Anolis sagrei: one gene and its partner. Each later gene encodes a partner of the first gene's protein in a complex. Links are inferred from orthologs where the notes say so. Each region holds a gene or a part of one and is shown on either strand. Other genes may lie near its edges. The genes, in order: non-structural maintenance of chromosomes element 3 homolog and NSMCE2.

Region 1 (8,879 bases):
CTCATCCTCCCCTTTTCCCTTCCCAATTCATTCCCTGGCTAAACCTCCCCCCTCTCCCTTAACCACTTTCCTTACCAATCCTGTTTACCCTTCCACTCCCTATTGTTTCCTACTTTCCTATTATCAGATTGTTTCCCCTCTTTTATTGTTAACTTCTAAAAAACTAATAAAAACAAATAAAAAAAGAAATACGAATAAGTTTATAATTGTTAAAATTGTTCTTCATTTTAATTATTGTATTATGAGGCAATCCTCATTCTCAGCCTAAATCCACTTTCCATGGCTTAGAAGGAATTTGAACCTTTCAATATCCTAGTTCAGTGGTTCCCAACCTTTGGTCCTCCTGGTGTTTTGTACTTCAACTCCTAGAATTCCCAGCCAGCTTACCAGCTGTTAGGAGGACTACAGTTTGGAAATTACTGTTCTGGCTCTACGCTCCAACCACTATACTTTACTGGCTCGCAAAACAAGTCTTTCCTATAACACTATGTAACAAAAATTGAAAGTATTATTTCCTGTTGAACTGTGCAGTACTTACTTTGAAATCAGCGCTTCTACTCCAGAAACTTCATTTTTGTGGCTGCCACAAACTATGTTGAATTGGTTGAGACTCTATGCGATATTCATTGAAAAACTCTAACAAAATGTGCTGCAGGATATCCCACAATGACAACGTTTTTGCAGTGTAATAAACTGTTCGATGTTTTTGTAATAGAACTAAACAGGAAATGACACTCATAACACAGAAATAAAAATTGTGTTACATATTGTAATGAGAGTCGAACCTGTTAAAAACCAAGCCCTATCCACTTAAATGCATGAGAAGGATGCATTAAGTGAAGTGTGTGAAGTTGAAAATACTACAGGTGTTTTGTACTATGATATCACACCTAAATACAGGAAAGATCTAGCTCCATCTTCTGTCCTGTTTTTCTCTCTCAGTGAAAACCTGTACATATTGTAAGTATTGCATTAATTTTATGGGGTCAGGATAAACTACACATGAATTAAACCACACTACAAAACAACGGACACACGTTGTGTTGTTTGTAGCCATCTAGTTTCTTTTAAGAGAGGAATGCGGGATATAAATAAATAAGACAATAGTAATACCTGAGAAGGGCCAGGTCCTTTACTACTACGCCTGCTCTGTGACATCTTTCTGATGAGTTATCTGTAAAGGACAGGAAGAAAATGTTAGGTCAGATTATTTATTTATTTAGCCATATTTATACCCCACTTTTCTCTACCCCAGCAGGGAGACTCAAGGCAGCTTACAATGGCACATACACAGTGCCTCAAAACAACAAATTCACCATAAAATAGTTTAAAATTACAACATGTTTAAAATGGTTAAAATATACTCAAAGTTAAAAACACGCCATCCAGAGTTCATTCCTTGGTGAAATTGCACATAATTCTATATTTGGAATACTGCATTGTCCTAATTTTCAAAGCCTGCTTCCAGAGCCAGGTTTTGACTCTCTTCTTGAAAGCTAGTAGGAAGGAGGCTGATCTGATATTGCTAGGGAGGGAGTTCTAAAACCAAGGGGCCACCACTGAGAAGGCCCTATCTCTCATCCCCCACCAGCCGTACTTGTGAGACAGGCAGGACCGAGAGCAGGGCTTCCCCAGATGATCTTAGTCTCCAAGCTGTTCGTAGGGGAAATATACATTCGGACAGATAACCTGCTGATGGGGAAATCGTGTATATTTCTGTCTCTCAGCCAATAATAATAATAATAATAATAATAAACTTTATCTATACCCTGCCACCATTTCCCCAACGGGGACTCGGAGAGCTTACATGGGGTCAAGCCCGAACAACAAACTACAATACAAAAATACAAACTGCAGTAAAATAAACAACATAACGTTAAAGTGTAAAACATCAAAACATATAAAACAATATACACTGAACATAAAAATCAAACAGAGAATGGGCCGCATATACATAAAATGATTTAAAAACTGCGGGTGAGATAAGGGGGCAGAACTAATTGGAAGGGAGAGCTCACAGAGATAGGAAAATAAACAAACCTTCGTACAAAGGGGGGGGGGGCGCTCCTGGGACAAGAACATTGAGGGAGCAATTTCATAAAATTATGTGGCTACTCTCCAAAAGAGCAACGGCAGAGCCAGGTCTTAAGACTGTAATTTTTAAAGGTTTCTAACACAGGGGCTTTCCTGATCTCTCCGGGCAATGAATTCCAGAGTAATATTGATTTTAAAGATCAATTCCTGAAACCAACATTAAAACCTGGAGCCTCTTTCCCCTCCCACAGACTGGGCTTCTCGAGTTGGTTTTAAGCCCCTCGCTTGCTAAATTTCAACCCAGGAGCAACCATGTTCAAATATGTAAGACCAGCTAGTTCTGGAAATTTAGAGTGTATCCACACTGTAGAATGAATGCAGTTTGGCACCACTTTGACTGCAATGACTCAGTGCTATGGGCTCATGGGAGTTGTAGTTTGGTGAGGCACCAGCACGCTTTCATAGAATCAAAGAGTTGGAAGAGACCTCATGGGCCATCCAGTCCAACCCCCTGCCAAGAAGCAAGAATATTGCATTTAAAGCACCCCTGACAGATGGCCATCCAGCCTCTGTTTAAAAGCTTCCAAAGAAGGAGCCTCCACCACACTCCAGGGCAGAGAGTTCCTCTGCTGAACAACTCTCACAGTCAGGAAGTTCTTCCTCATGTTCAGATGGAATCTCCTTTCTTGTAGTTTGAAGCCAGAAAACAAGCTTGCTCCCTCCTCCCCGTGACTTCCTCTCACATATTTATATTCATTTATTTATTTATTACAGTTACTTTTACCCCACCCTTCTCAACCCCCTAGGGGGGGACTCAGGGCAGCTTACAAAAAAGGCACTATTTGATGCCTACATAGAGTACATATACATATAAAACAACAATCAGCATTTATCACAATTAAACAGTTAACAATAACACAATCATTAAAAACTAATCACAAACTCAGCATGCATTGTCCAGATTCCCTTAATTCCATTGTGTATGTCAATTCCATTCTATTGCCACGTCCTTTTTCATCTGCCAGGTTGTCTGAATGCCTGATCCCAAATCCACGTTTTCAACTTTTTCCTGAAGGAAAGGAGGGATGTCGCTGGTCTAATTTCCCCTGGGAGTGAGTTCCACAGGTGAGGGGCCACCACCGAGAAGGCTATCATATACATGGCCATCATATCTCCTCTCATCCTTCTCTTCTTCAGGCTAAACATGCCCAGCTCCTTAAGCCACTCCTCATAGGGCTTGTTCTCCAGACCCTTGATCATTTTAGTCGCCCTCCTCTGGAGGGCGACTAAAATGATCAACACATTCCAGCTTGTCAATATCTCTCTTCAATTGTGGTGCCCAGAATTGGACACAGTATTCCAGGTGTGTCCAATTGACAGTGAAGACCTTGTAAAACTACAACTCCCAGGATTACAGATCATTGAGCCATGGCAGGCAAACGGCATTTATTCTATGGTTTAGAGCAGGCCTGCAGAACTTGTAGCTCTCCAACTCCCAACTCCCAGAAGCCCTTGCCTGGCTATTTAATGGTTTGAGGCCTGCTCTAGATGCACCCAAGGCTTCTAGTTTTACAGGGACATTAGCTGTTTTGCCACAAGGTGCTGGGGCCTCACCAGACTACAAATCCCAGGATACTATACCACTGAGACATAGCAGTATTGTCCTGACTGCATCCCAACCCTCCAACAACTTGCCTAAATGCCCAGAGAGCCACTTTCCCGCCTTCCTACTCGCTGATACTAACCACCAGGACTGCCGCCGGTTTGCGCATGCGCACGCTCTATCACCCGGACTTCCTAGTGCGCATGCTCCTTCGATGATAGAGGAAGTTCTGATTAGTTTTTTTTCCTCCTGAGAGGAAAAAAACAGTGCGCATGCGCGTTTTAACTGCAGACCCTGGCAAGGAAAATGGCGGGCGAAGGTGGGAATGATGTCTCTCCTCATAAATCACTCAGTTTGAGCCTGGCATAAGTTTCATATATAAGGGCATTCTCTGCCTATTCATACGCTGTGGGTGGGGGAGAAAAAAAAATGGCCACATTATACTGTTACAGCGCTATTCTATTAATTGCCATGTCAACCACCTGGGATTTGTAGTTTAGAGCGGGACCCTGGCAAAACTACAATTCTCAGAATTTCACAGCATGTTCCCCGTGGCAGTTATGGGGTTTTTATGAATGGAAAACGAAAAATAGGGATATATTTCTAGTTCCCTAAATGGATATAAACAATAGGAACATTTTATCTAAATACAGGGTGAGGCAGCATAACTTCTTTTTCGAAACTTAATAAAACCCATTGTATGAATCAGAATTAATAATGTAGGTGCATACCTAAAGTTTTGTTTCACGTAGTTTTGAAGATCAAATTAAGTAGGTGACGTCCCCCATTCTCCATTCTCCATACACTGAGTAAACTGATTTCTGGCGTTTGTCATGACTCTTGCCAGCGTTATGTTGACAATTTTTTCCTGGATGTTGGTCTTCAAGTCTTGTAGGGTCCATGGACGGTTCACATAAACAGGATTTCAAAACACCCACAGAAAAAAATCACAAGGGGCCAAATCTGGAGAGCGGGCCGGCCACTCCAAATCCGCTCGAAAAGTAGGCCTCAACGGCAAAAGCACGCTCCTCGCTGTTCCAACGCATGATGGCGACTGAACTGTGTCAGGACAAAACTTTATACTCCCGTCTCTTGAACGAGACCACTAGCGCTCTGCTACGTCTTTAACCGACTGAATGGCGCGCATTTTTTAAAAAGTTATGCAGCCTCACCCTGTATATAAAATTATGGAAGCAACCAACTGTACCAATGACAGATGGTTGGATTCCAAATGTTTTTGAAATGGCTGAAGTGGACAAATTAATTTTACAACAAACTAATTTGCACAAACGGCAAGAAGAATGGAAACCTTTGATGGGCTTTGTAAAAAATAGTAAGATGATCATAACAGGATTTGTGAACTACAAATAATATGAGTAATATATGACTTACTTAGGCGATCCCTCGTCCGAGGATGATGATCCTCCAAGTATAGTATCCTGAGGGTGGGTCCGTAGGTGACTATGGAGCCCAATTCTTGCTCTGCGTCTTCTCCTGCAGTGAGGGCATTGGTTTCCAGGTGGAAGGCAGTCCCGGTCGGGGTTGGCTTGCGGCACCTTCCTCTTGGTACATTTCTCTCTTTCACCCTCCATTCGTGCCTCTTCAAATTCTAGAGCACTGCTGATCACAGCTGACCTCCAACTGGAGCGGTCAAGGGCCAGGGCTTCCCAGTTCTCAGTGTTTATGCCAGAGTTTTTAAGGTTGGCTTTGAGCCTGTCTTTATATCTCTTTTCCTGCCCACCAACATTCTATTTCTGTTCCTGAGTTCGGAGTAGAGCAACTGCTTTGGGAGACGGTGATCGGGCATCCAGACAAAGTGACTGGTCCAGCGGAGTTGACAGCAGAGGACCATCGCTTCAATGCTGGTGGTCTTTGCTTCTTCCAGCACACTGACGTTTGTCCGCTTGTCTTCCCAAGAGATTTGCAGGATTTTTTAAATTTTTTAAAATTTTATTTTATTTAAGTAGACATACATTTGCAAGTGTTTGTTGCATACAGTGCAATACTTGTGCAGGATTTTTCGGAGGCAGTGCTGATGGAATCATTCCAGGAGTTGCATGTGATGTCTGTAGACTGTCAACATCTCGCAGGCGTATAGCAGGGTTGGGAGGACAATAGCTTTATAAACAATCACCTTGGTATCCCTATGGATGTCCCGGTCCTCAAACACTCTCTGCTTCATTCGTAAAAATGCTGCACTCGCAGAGCTCAGGCAGTGTTGAATTTCAGTGTAAATGTTGACTTTGGTGGAGAGGTGGCTGCCAAGGTAGCAGAAATGGTCAACATTTTCTAATGTTACTCCATTAAGCTGTATCTCTGGCATTGGAGAGGGATTGCCTGGTGACTGCTGAAACAGCACTTTGGTTTTTTCGATGTTCAATAACAGGCCGAGCTTCTCATATGCTTCTGCAAAGGTGTTTAGAGCAGCTTGTAGGTCTTCTGAATGTGCACAGAAGACATTGTCATCAGCATACTGGAGTTCTATAACAGATGTTGTTGTAACCTTGGTTTTGGCTTTCAGTCTTGCCATCTGTCCCATAGATGATTTCCACTCCGGTGGGAAGCTTCCCATCAACAAGATGAAGTATCATAGCGATGAAGATGGAAAATAAGGTTGAGGCAATAACACATCCCTGTCTGACACCTGCTTCCACCTTAAATGGGTCACTTTGGGAGCCATTGCTGTCCAAGACTGTTGCCATCGTGTCATCATGGAGGAGCCGCAGGATGTTCACAAATTTGTCAGGGCACCCGATTTTCTGGAGGATGGTCTAGAGAGCGCTGCGATTCACTGTGTCAAATGCCTTTGCGAGGTCAATGAATGCCATGTACAGAGGTTGATTTTGTTCCCTGCATTTTTCTTGGAGCTGTCGTGCAGTGCGGATCATGTCCACTGTTCCTCTGGAGGGGCGGAAGCCGTTCTGGGATTCTGGGAGGGTGTCTTCTGAGAGGGGTAGAAGGCGATTTGCAAGGATTTTTGCGAGGATTTTCCCAGCTGAGGTTAGAAGGGAGATACCTCGATAGTTTCTGCAGTTTCTTCTTTACAATATATGAATGGAGCCACTGATGGTGCAGCAGGTTAAGCCGCTGAGCTGCTGAACTTGCTGACCAGAAGGTCGGTGGTTCAAATCCAGTGAGCGGGGTGAGCTCTCGTCGTTAGGCCCAGCTTCTGCCAACTTAGCAGTTTGGAAACATGCAAATAAGAGTAGATCAATAGGTAGGAAGGTAATGGCACTCCATTCAGTCATGCTGGCCACGTGACCTTGGAGGTGTCTATGGACAATGCCAGCTCTTCAGCTTAGTAATGGAGATGAGCACCACCCCCAGAGTCGGACATGACTAGACTTAATGTCAGGGGAACCTGTACCTTTAATATATGAATATGTGTTGTTGAAGGCTTTCATGGCCAGAATCACTGGGTTGCTGTGAGTTTTCCAGGCTGTATGGCCATGTTCCAGAAGCATTCTCTCCTGACATTTCAGCCACATCAATGCTTCTGGAACATGGCCATACAGCCCAGAAAACTCACAGCAACCGAATATATGAATATATTCTGTATCCTAAAACTCAAAATATTATTAAACACCCTACCCCCACCCCTAATAAAAATGTTAATAGTTAGGGATTTATACTTTTCGAAGAGCAGCAAGCCAGATTGAGATGCAGCCGTGTCCTCTCTTTTGCATAAAAATCCCAGGCCTTCCCATCATCCCCAGACTTGTCTCTCTCTTCTATAAACTATATTTTATCCCACTTTTATTCCTATATATCTATTAAACGGGTTCTGTTTTACTTATGGGACAGAAAAACATTAACCTTTACCTGTCAGGAAGCAAATGATCCAACTATTGTTTCTCATTGAGAAATAACCCCAAAGTGTGGCTCAAAACAAAGGAGTCTGATCATTTCAATATTCTCGATGTGTGGTGGCCTGGAAAAAAGGAAATCTGCATAAGCTCATTATCTTCAGGATTAAACACCCAAAGACAAAAATCAGTAACTATCACATTTTTATCCACTCCTTGCTGTACAATTTTTATCCTTTTGTATAATGTATCTATTTCCCAAGTCTGAAATGTATAAACTGTACTTTTATTCTACCTTATTCTTAAAATGTAAATGGTTTAACTGCCTGGCTCACACACAGCTATTAACCGTCTCATAATACTAGGTATATTTAACTGTATTTTTATATAACAGCAGCCATTAAGATGAGCGATAGATTATCCCAGATAATCTATCCATAGAATTCATTGCCAGATAATGTTGTGATGGCCATCAACTTGGTTGGCTTAAAAAGTAGATCAGATAAGTATCTGTAGGGAGACTCCGGTGGTGCAGTGGTTTAAACCGTCGTGCTGATATTGAGCAAGAATTTAGGGGTCTTTGCCAGGAGGCAGAGACCAATCAGACTCGTCAAAGAGAGTCTGTCGCCCTGGCGAGACAGAAAAACCACCCAAGATTTTTCCCTGATTTTTCCCAATAAAAGGTCTCACCAAGTTGAAGAAAAGCCACTGAGTTGTCTTTACCAGTTGTCCCATCTGGTAGGACTGGTACGGATGTCAAACCGCAATCCTTTGCCAAAGTCGACATGCTTTGCAGGGCAAAAAGGAGTACATTTTATAGGAAATACAGAACTGTCAAATTCAAACTCCCTGCCCTCTTGCTGGCATCTCGCTGATTGGCTGGAGTCATCAGCTGGAGGGGAGGTGTGGCCGGCTTAGGTGTGCCTCGACCAATGGGAGAGCAAACGCCACTTCGGCTTCTGAGCCAATGTGGAGCGAGGAGGCAGTACAAGCGGGAAACAAAGAACCGAGAGGAAAATGAGTGGATTAAATGTAACTTAATGGTTTGTCTGATTGCTGGCAATAATCCGGAGATTCCTCAAGCTGGCCTGGTATTGTCTTGGGAGGGTGAAATATACAAAAAGCTCCGTGTTGAGTTTTTGGAGGCGAAAAGGTTATTCCCAGGGTGGAGAGGTCAGCGGAGCAAAATCGAGATAGCCATTAGTCTTAGAATTAGCCCAGGACAAGATTGGCACCGATTTCGGAGCGATCCGTTGACTCACGGATACAGGGACCCGAGAGGTTTCCGTATCCGCAGTTCAGAGGAACACAGTTTCGGCCTCCCCAGGATGTGAAAATCTCACCCCAGGTGGGCGGGCAGCCATCTGCAGCCTGGGAGAGGGAAAGTTCATGCAAGGAATGGTTTGGAGGCAGTAAAGACACAAAGTAATACTATA
Region 2 (9,229 bases), on another chromosome or scaffold:
AAGACTGAAAACCGCCTTAAAGGATAAGTTTTGACCTCATGTTCCCCAACTTTGTAGCCTCGGGTATTCATCCAACCTCTCTCTGAGGCTGCAATCTTAATCCTGATTTATATTTCAATTCCACTGATTCCTAAAAGGCCCAAAGGGACTTAACTACCAAAGCCCTCATCACAATGAGTTGCAGACATTCCAGAGATTGCTGTAACAGGTGAAACAATGAACTGCATGGGATTTGCATCATGAAGTCTCTGCTGCCATCTCTTGGTTTCCTTCATCCGTATCAGTGTTTCTCAACCTTCCTATTGCCACGATCACTTAATACAGTTCCTCATATTGTGGTGACCCCCAACCATAACATTATTCTCGTTGCTACTTTGTAACTGTAATGTTGCTAATGTTATGAATCGTAATGTAAATATCTGATATGCATAATGTATTTTCATTCACTGGACCAAATTTGGCACAAATATCCGATAACCCCAAATTTGAATACTGGTGGGGTTGGGGGGGGGGTTCATTTTGTCACTTGGGAGTTGTAGTTACTGGGATTTATAGGGCCTTCTCGGTGGTGGCCCCTCGACTCTGGAACTCCCTTCCACTGGAGATCAGAACTGCCCCTTCTATCTTAACATTCAGGAAACAGGTGAAAACTTGGCTTTGGGGATTGGCATTCGACGAATGAGCCATGATCCTGTGATATGGATGGATGATGACGAATAATGATTTTTGATGACAACTGACCACTGTAATTATATGATTGTATTTTAATGTTTTAGTGTGATTTAGAATATGATGTTTTAATGACTGTCTGTAATACTGATGTTGGAAACCGGCCTGAGTCCCTTGAACGGAGGTGAGAAGACAGGTATACAAAACTGCTAAATAAATAATTAATTAATAAATAAAATAGTTCACCTACAATCAAAGAGCATTCTGAATTCCACCAATGATGGAATTAAACCATACTTGGCACACAGAACTCCCATGACCAACAAAAAATACTGGAAGGGTTTGGTGGGCATTGGCCTTGAGTTTTGGAGTGTTAGTTGACGCAAATAATGATAGATCTGGACCAAACTTGACACGAATACTCAGTATGCCCAAATGTGAACACTTTTGGAGTTTGAGGAAAATAGACCCTGACATTTGGGAGTTGTAGTTGCTTGGATTTATAGTTCACTTACAATCAAAGAGCATTCTGAACCCCACCAACAGTAGAATTGGGCCAAACATCCCACACAAAACCCCCATGACCAACAGAAAATACTGTGTTTTCTGATGGTCTTTGGTGACCCCTCCTACACCCCCTTGGGACCCCCATCAGGGGTCCTGACCCCCAGGTTGAGAAACACTGCATTAGATTGATTAGATAGAGAGATTTATAGTTCACTTACAATCAAAGAGCATTCGGAACCCCACCAACAGTAGAATTGGGCTAAACATCCCACACAAAACTCGGCACTATAAAAGAGTTTTGCGAGACCTGTCGCAACAGTGTAGTAATGGTGAGGCAGCGGACCGTATTTTAGTCCTTGTGGACCACTGGTGGTCCACAGACCACAGGTTGGGAACCACTGCTGTGGAAATTATTTTTTTCTGTTTTGGCCAAACTCTCTCACTCAGAAAGGGGAGTTCGAGTTCCCACCAGATTAAAGATGGATTAAAGACCTCACAACCTCTGAGGATGCCTGCCATAGATGCAGGCGAAACGACAGGAGATTTATTTATTTGTCGTGTCAGAGCAGCCAGTCCATTATATTACATTTCTAACATAACAAAGCAAACAAACAGAAAAATACACAACTTGTGACTTTGGTAGCTGGTTAAATGTCCTTTGACCAGTATCTGGCCACTTGGAGTGCCTCTGGTGTTGCTGCAAGAAGGTCCTCCATGGTGCATGTGGCAGGGCTGAGGGTGCATTGCAGCAGGTGGTCAGTGGTTTGCTCTTCTCCACACTCGCATGTCGAGGATTCTACTTTGTAGCCCCATTTCTGAAGGTTGGCTCTGCATCTCGTGGTGCCAGAGCACAGTCTGTTCAATGCCTTCCAAGTCGCCCAGTCTTCTGTGTGCCCAGGAGGGAGTCTCTCATTTGGTATCAGCCATTGGTTGAAGGGCTGGGTTTGAGCCTGCCACTTTTGGACTCTCGCTTGCTGAGGTGTTCCAGCGAGTGTCTCTGTAGATCTTAGAAAACTATGTCTAGATTTAAGTCATTGGCGTGCTGGCTGATATCCAAACAGGGGATGAGCTGGAGATGTCTCTGCCTTGGTCCTTTCACTATTGGCTGCTACTTCCCGGCGGATGTCAGGTGGTGCAATACCGGCTAAGCAGTGTAATTTCTCCAGTGGTGTAGGGCGCAGACACCCCGTGAAAATTCAGCATGTCTCATTAAGAGCCACATCCACTGTTTTAGTATGGTGAGATGTGTTCCACACTGGGCATGCATACTCAGCAGCAGAGTAGCACGGCGCAAGGGATAATGCTTCTGGAACATGGCCATACAGCCCTGAAAACTTACAGCTACCTATTGATACCGTCCATGAAAGCCTTCAACGACACATTAAAGATGGATAGCGCTCATTTCTTTCCCTGAGCATTCCAGGACAGATAGGAAACCCTGAGAAGTGATTGCAGCAAGAATAAAGCTATTTGTTCAAAAAATGAGAGAAACTCACTGCGATTTTCCACAAGGTCAAAAGCAACCTTGGTAGCCATCTCCATTCCGGTACTTATATAGGACTGGCAGTGTTTCAGAGAGGAAAGGCATGTATCCACGCCGGCAAAGGAGACCACACTTTGGCTAGACATTCTGGTCTAATTTCCTGGGGGAAAAATATATGTATTATTATTATATATTTGTATTCATTTATTATATTGGCATCCCACCTTCCTCCCAACATGGAACCCAATTAGAACCTGTGACCTGTCGGTCTTCAGTCCTGTTGGCACAGGAGTTTAACCATTGCTCCACTGGGGGCTCCATAATAATAATAATAAATATAAATAAAGCTGACACAATATGAGGATTTAAAGATCGAACTGCAGACTCTGGCACAAGCCAGTCAAGGTGGTCCTGATCAGCGATTGGCACACTGGGTGCAGTGCCTAAAGACCTTGGCCTGCACTTAAACACAATCGGCACTGACAAAATTACCATCGGCCAGCTGCAGAAGGCCACCCTACTGGGATCTGCACGCATTATTCACCAAGACTAGACACTTGGGAAGTGTCCGACGTGTGATCCAATACAACAGCCAGCAGAGTGTCTACTGTGGACTCATCTTGTGGTGTTTCTAATAATAATAATAATTAAACACAATCGGCACTGACAAAATTACCATCGGCCAGCTGCAGAAGGCCACCCTACTGGGATCTGCACGCATTATTCACCAAGACTAGACACTTGGGAAGATGAGTGTCTACTGTGGACTCATCTTGTGGTGTTTCTAATAATAATAATAATTAAACACAATCGGCACTGACAAAATTACCATCGGCCAGCTGCAGAAGGCCACCCTACTGGGATCTGCACGCATTATTCACCAAGACTAGACACTTGGGAAGTGTCCAACGTGTGATCCAATACAACAGCCAGCAGAGTGTCTACTGTGGACTCATCTTGTGGTGTTTCTAATAATAATAATAACAATAATAATAAATGTAACATTAATAAACAGAACTGCAAAGACTCTGTGACAAGCTAGAAAAAGGTGGTCCCAGTGGTGATTGGCACACTGGGCGCAGTGCCTAAAAACTTTGGCCTGCACTTAAAAACAATCTGCACTGATTGAATACAAAAGCCAGCATACTGATCTTGTTCACTGTGTACCAATCTTGTTGTGTTTCTAATAATAATAATATTTCCTGTGTGTGATCCAATACAACAGCCAGGAAAGTGATCTTGTTCGCTGTGGACTCATCTTGTTATGTTTCAAATAATAATACATATTATTATTATTATTATGTTGATTTATAGCCCACTTTTTCTCTTATAATTGTGAAAGTCAAAACTATTTCTCTCTTTGCTCAAACTAAACATTTGCTGGCATAACTAGAACAAGTTTTGGAAGGAATGCTGTGTCCAAATACATTTGGAGGAGTTGGGGGAGTTTTGCAAGGTCTTTAGCTGTTCAAAGAGCAAGAACTCCTGGTTAAAGCGGTGCCAAACTGCGTTAATTCTGCAATGTAGATGCATCCAAGCTTCCATCCAATCCACCCAGCAGCAACTTCTTACTTTGCAAAGCCTTGGCTCTTGGGCTGCCTTTCCTTTTTTTAATTTTTGCAGGGAGGCGCAGGGCTTAGAAAAGAAGGGGATCCCTTTGCTCCCTTTCTCTGGGTCTCTTTCCACTGCTGGATCCGGATCCAGACACCCATTTGCTCTTGAAAAGGAGGAGGAGGAGCCTGTCCAAAAGGGAAGCGGATCAGCATCACCCAGAGCCTGGTTCACATGACCTGAGAAAGCTCCCATGTGATGCAAGGCGAGAGGAAGAGGCTGCTGAATGGTGGGTTTGCTTTCTCTTCTTGCATTTTCTCTGGGTGTTTCCTGCAAATTCCAGGCTGAATTCCAACCTCTTGTTTTTTTTCTGCTGCTGGAAGAGGATCAGGTCAGCTGTTTGCATTTTTGGGAGAAAGAAATAATTATATAACAAAACAAAATTGGAGGTGGAGGGGGGAAAAAAGAGGAAGGGATTTGTTTACTATCTTCCTGGTAGAAAGAGAGCTTGCAAGGTCTATGCAGGGCAATGAAAAAGGACTGGGGAGGGTTGGTTGGGAAATAATTCCCCATTAAACTGGTTGGTTATTGACACCAGGGGTGGGTGGGTGCAGCTATACTATAGAATTAATGCAGTGCTCTTACCTACAAGAAGCACTGCCTGAACATCAATCAAAAAGTGGGTGCTAGAAACAATATCATACGAAAGCTGACTGGCACAACCTGGGGATCACAACCAGATACAGTGAAGATATCTGCCCTTGCGCTGTGCTACTCGGCTGCTGAATATGCATGCCCAGTGTGGAACACATCTCACCACACTAAAACAGTGGATGTGGCTCTTAATGAGACATGCCGCATTATCACAGGGTGTCTGCGCCCTACACCACTGGAGAAATTACACTGCTTAGCCGGTATTGCACCACCTGATATCCGCCGGGAAGTAGCAGCCAATAGTGAAAGGACCAAGGCAGAGACATCTCCAGCTCATCCCCTGTTTGGGTATCAGCCAGCATGTCAACGACTTAAATCTAGAAATAGTTTTCTAAGATCTACAGAGACACTCGCTGGAACATCTCAGCAAGTGAGAGTCCAAAAGTGGCAGGCTAAAACCCAGAACCTCAACCAATGGCTGATACCAAATGAGAGACTCCCCCCTGGGCACACAGAGGACTGGACGACTTGGAAGGTGCTGAACAGACCGTGCTCTGGCACCACAAGATGCAGAGCCAACCTCAAGAAATGGGGCTACAAAATGGAATCCACAACATGCGAGTGTGGAGAAGAGCAAACCACTGACCACCTGCTGCAATGCAACCTGAGCCCCGCTACATGCACAATGGAGGACCTTCTTGCAGCAACACCAGAAGCACTCCAAGTGGCCAGATACTGGTCAAAGGACATTTAATCAACTACCAAACTCACAAATTTTGTATTTTGTCTGTTTGTTTGCTTTGTTCTGTTAGAAATGTAATATAATTGACTGGTTGCCCTGACACGACAAATAAATAAAGTGCAGTGGGTCAGTGCAATGGGATCCTGGGCGTTGTAGTTTGGTGAGGCACCAACACACTTTGGGACAGAAGACTTGTAAAATGACAATTCACTTGATGCCATAGCATTAAGGCAAGGCAGTTAAATCTGCATTAATTCTACAATGTAGACGAACCCTAAAATGCCCCAGCTGGTAGGTTAAGGTAAAGGTTTCCCCCTGACATTAAATCCAGTCGTGTCCAACTCTGGTTGGCGCTCATCTCCATTTGTAAGCCAAAGAGCCAGCGTTGTCCATAGACACCTCCAAGGTCATGTGGCCGGCATGACTGCATGGAGCGCTGTTACCTTCCCACTGGAGCAGTACTTATTGATCTACTCACATTTGCATGTTTTCGAACTGCTAAGTTGGCAGAAGCCGGGGCTAACAGCGGTAGCACACCCCACTCCCCAGATTTGAACTGCTGACCTCTCGGTCAGCAAGTTCAGCACTTCAGCAATTTAACCCATTGTGCCACTGGGGCCCCCAGCAGGGAGGTTGTATAATTAATGCATATTATTATTAATATTATTATTATACACTTTATTATATATATATATATATATATATATATATATATACACACACACACATACATAATGCATTATATATAGATACACACACACACCATGGTGGCGCAACAGGTTAAACCATTGAGCTGTTGAGCTTGCTGACCTGAAGGTTAGCAGTTCAGCTCCTGCTGTCAGCCCTAGCTCCTGCCAACCTAGCAGTTCGAAAACATGCAAATGTGAGTAGATCAATAGGTACCGCCTTGGCAGGAAGGTAAATTGGCGCTTCATGAAGTCATGGCTACGTGACCAGGAGGTATGTATGGACAACGCAGGCTCCTCAGCTTGGAAATGGAAATGAGTACCTCCCCGCAGAGCCAGAGATGAGCACTGCCTCCAGAGCCGGAGATGAAAGGGAAAGCCTTTGCCTTTGTATTTGTGTTCCATTGTGTTTCAGAGGTATTGAATGTTTTTCTGTGTCTGTTTACATGCTGGAATCTGCTTTGAGTCCCCTCGGGGAGATAGGTTATTATTATTATTATTACAATATATTATTTATTATTGTTATTATTATTGCACACTTACCTTGTTACATCATCTGTTCCCAGACCTATACAGGTTCCTTACTTCCCAACATCATTTAGACAACATTATAAAAATGCAGCTCTTGTCCGTTCTATTCTAATTTCACCCATTGCATATATTGGTTATTCTAATATATTTACTAATTGTTCATCCACGTCTTTCTTGGTTGTTTGATGTTCTGAATTTGCCATTACTTTTGGATATGAAGCAGGTGAATGGTGTCCACTTGTTATCAAATAGATCTTTTATTTATCTTTTTGCTAATCTTAATGTATAAGTTAACTTTTCTGATAGGGCTATAACTACAGATTTCACAATTCCATACTATGTAGCTGCAGCCTTTAAGCCATTTCAGGTTGCAGAATTCAACTGATTGATTCCTCAGTGCCTCTCTTCTCAGGCACCTAACATACTACAGATCCCAGAAGACCTTAGTGTAGAACCATGAGAGTTAACATGGAATGAAACTTGTATAACTGCATAATAACACACTTTCTCTTATGTTGAAGCATGGTAAAAGAGGTTTAGTATGCAGAAAGATGGTGAATTAATGCAACTCCAGTATGGGTGCGGATGGGAAGTGGCTTGCCTTAGTGACAGGAAGAGAAGAAATATTGAGCAATATTGGTCAGACTCTCATTGGGAAGTAGTTGGTAATAATAATGATAAATCTTCAAGGCACATGTGCTTAAAACAAATTGGAAATTATACAACCTTCTATTTGTTTATTTATTTACTGTATTTGTAAACCGCCTTTCTCAGCCATTCGGTGACTCAAGGCAGTTTCCAACAAATTAGTACATATAAAAACATAATACAGATTAAAACATTAAACAATATAAAACACCACAAAAACAATAAAAACAACATCATTAGCGTCTCATTATCAAGCATTGTCCAGTTCCATTGTCAAATCGTTCGATTTCCTATATTAGCTACTCTGCATTGGTAAACACTTTCTCAAACAGCCATGTTTTAACTTGCCTCCGAAACGTTAAGAGGGAGGGAGCAGATCTAATCTCCCTAGGGAGGGTGTTCCATAGCCGAGGGGCCACCACTGAGAAGGCCCTGTCTCTCGTCCCCACCAAACGTACTTGAGACGAAGGCGGGACCGAGAGCAGGGCCTCCCCAGATGATCTTAGAGTCCTCAATGGTCCATAAGGGGAGACAAGTTTGGACAGGTAAGTTGGGCCAGAACCGTTTATGGCTTTATAGGCCAAAGCCAGCACTTTGAATTGGGCCAGGTAGCAAACCAGCAGCCAGTGGAACTGGCACAACAAGCGGGTTGTATGTTCCCTGAGCGCTGCTCCTGTTAGCAACCTGGCTGCAGTTTGTTGGACTAGTTGAAGCTTCCGGACCGTCTTCAAAGGCAACCCCACATAGAGAGCGTTGCAGTAGTCTATTTGGAATGTAATCAGAGCGTGGACTACCGTGGCCAAGTCAGACTTTCCAAGGTACAGGCGCAGCTGGTGCACAAGCTTTAACTGTGCAAATGCTCCCCTGGTCACCGCCGAAACATGAGGTTCCAGGCTCAGCGATGAATCCAGGATCACACCCAGACTGCGAACCTGTGTCTTCAGGGGGAGCCTAACCCCATCCAAAACAGGCTGTAACCCTATGCCTTGTTCGGCCTTGCAACTGACCAGGAGTACCTCTGTCTTGTCTGGATTCTATTTCAGTTTGTTTGCCCTCATCCAGACTGTCACAGCGGCCAAGCAGCGGTTCAGGACCTGAACAGCCTCCTTAGTAGTTGATGTTGGACTACAACTCTTAACATTCCTCACCACTGAATATGCAAACTAGAGTTGCTGGGAATTGCAGTCCAACCATATCTGAAAAGTATAATGATTCCCACTACAATATAGAATTAATGCAGTTTCACACGACTTTAATTGTTGTGGCTTAATGTTGTGACATTGTGGGAGTTGTTGTTCTACAAGGTTTATTTTTAGCCTTCTCTGCCAAAGAGTGCTGGTGCCTTACCATACTACTACTAATAATAATAATAGTAATAATAAAAACTTCATTTATACCCCGCCACCATCTCCCCAAGGGGACTTGGGGCGGCTTACATGAGGCCACGCCCATCAATACAGTAAAAACAATATAACACAAAAACACAACAGAAAATTAGAAAATAAAATAACGTAAAATACAAAACCAATGTAAGTAAACAACACAACAATATAAAATCGAAATATTAAGACACTAAAAATGATCACCGTGGGCAGGGCCAATCCTAGATTCCATAGGTTGAGCCATAACAATTAAAGTGGTGTCAAACTACATTAATTCTACAATGTAGACACAGCCATGTATAGGAAACCAAAGCCAAGTATACTGAGTCAAGAATAGACAGCTTTTCTATTCTTGGGGTTGCTTTATTTTTCAGGT

The links.
Region 2: non-structural maintenance of chromosomes element 3 homolog (region 1) and NSMCE2 share a complex: the UniProt entries of both Homo sapiens proteins name them as parts of the SMC5-SMC6 complex. The link is inferred for Anolis sagrei from reciprocal best matches to the Homo sapiens genes NSMCE3 and NSMCE2.

What each region holds. Positions count from the first base shown.
Region 1 is NC_090022.1:172,852,987-172,861,865, forward strand, and holds the start of non-structural maintenance of chromosomes element 3 homolog, read right to left. Parts: upstream 3,845-8,879; 5' UTR 3,780-3,844; exon of another isoform or gene 3,730-3,779; intron 1,175-3,729; 5' UTR 1,159-1,174; coding exon 1,114-1,158; intron 1-1,113. UniProt on the Homo sapiens protein: Component of the SMC5-SMC6 complex, a complex involved in repair of DNA double-strand breaks by homologous recombination. The complex may promote sister chromatid homologous recombination by recruiting the SMC1-SMC3 cohesin complex to double-strand breaks.
Region 2 is NC_090024.1:19,389,230-19,398,458, forward strand, and holds the start of NSMCE2 (E3 SUMO-protein ligase NSE2), read right to left. Parts: upstream 4,405-9,229; 5' UTR 4,232-4,404; intron 2,820-4,231; 5' UTR 2,806-2,819; coding exon 2,673-2,805; intron 1-2,672. UniProt on the Homo sapiens protein: E3 SUMO-protein ligase component of the SMC5-SMC6 complex, a complex involved in DNA double-strand break repair by homologous recombination. Is not be required for the stability of the complex.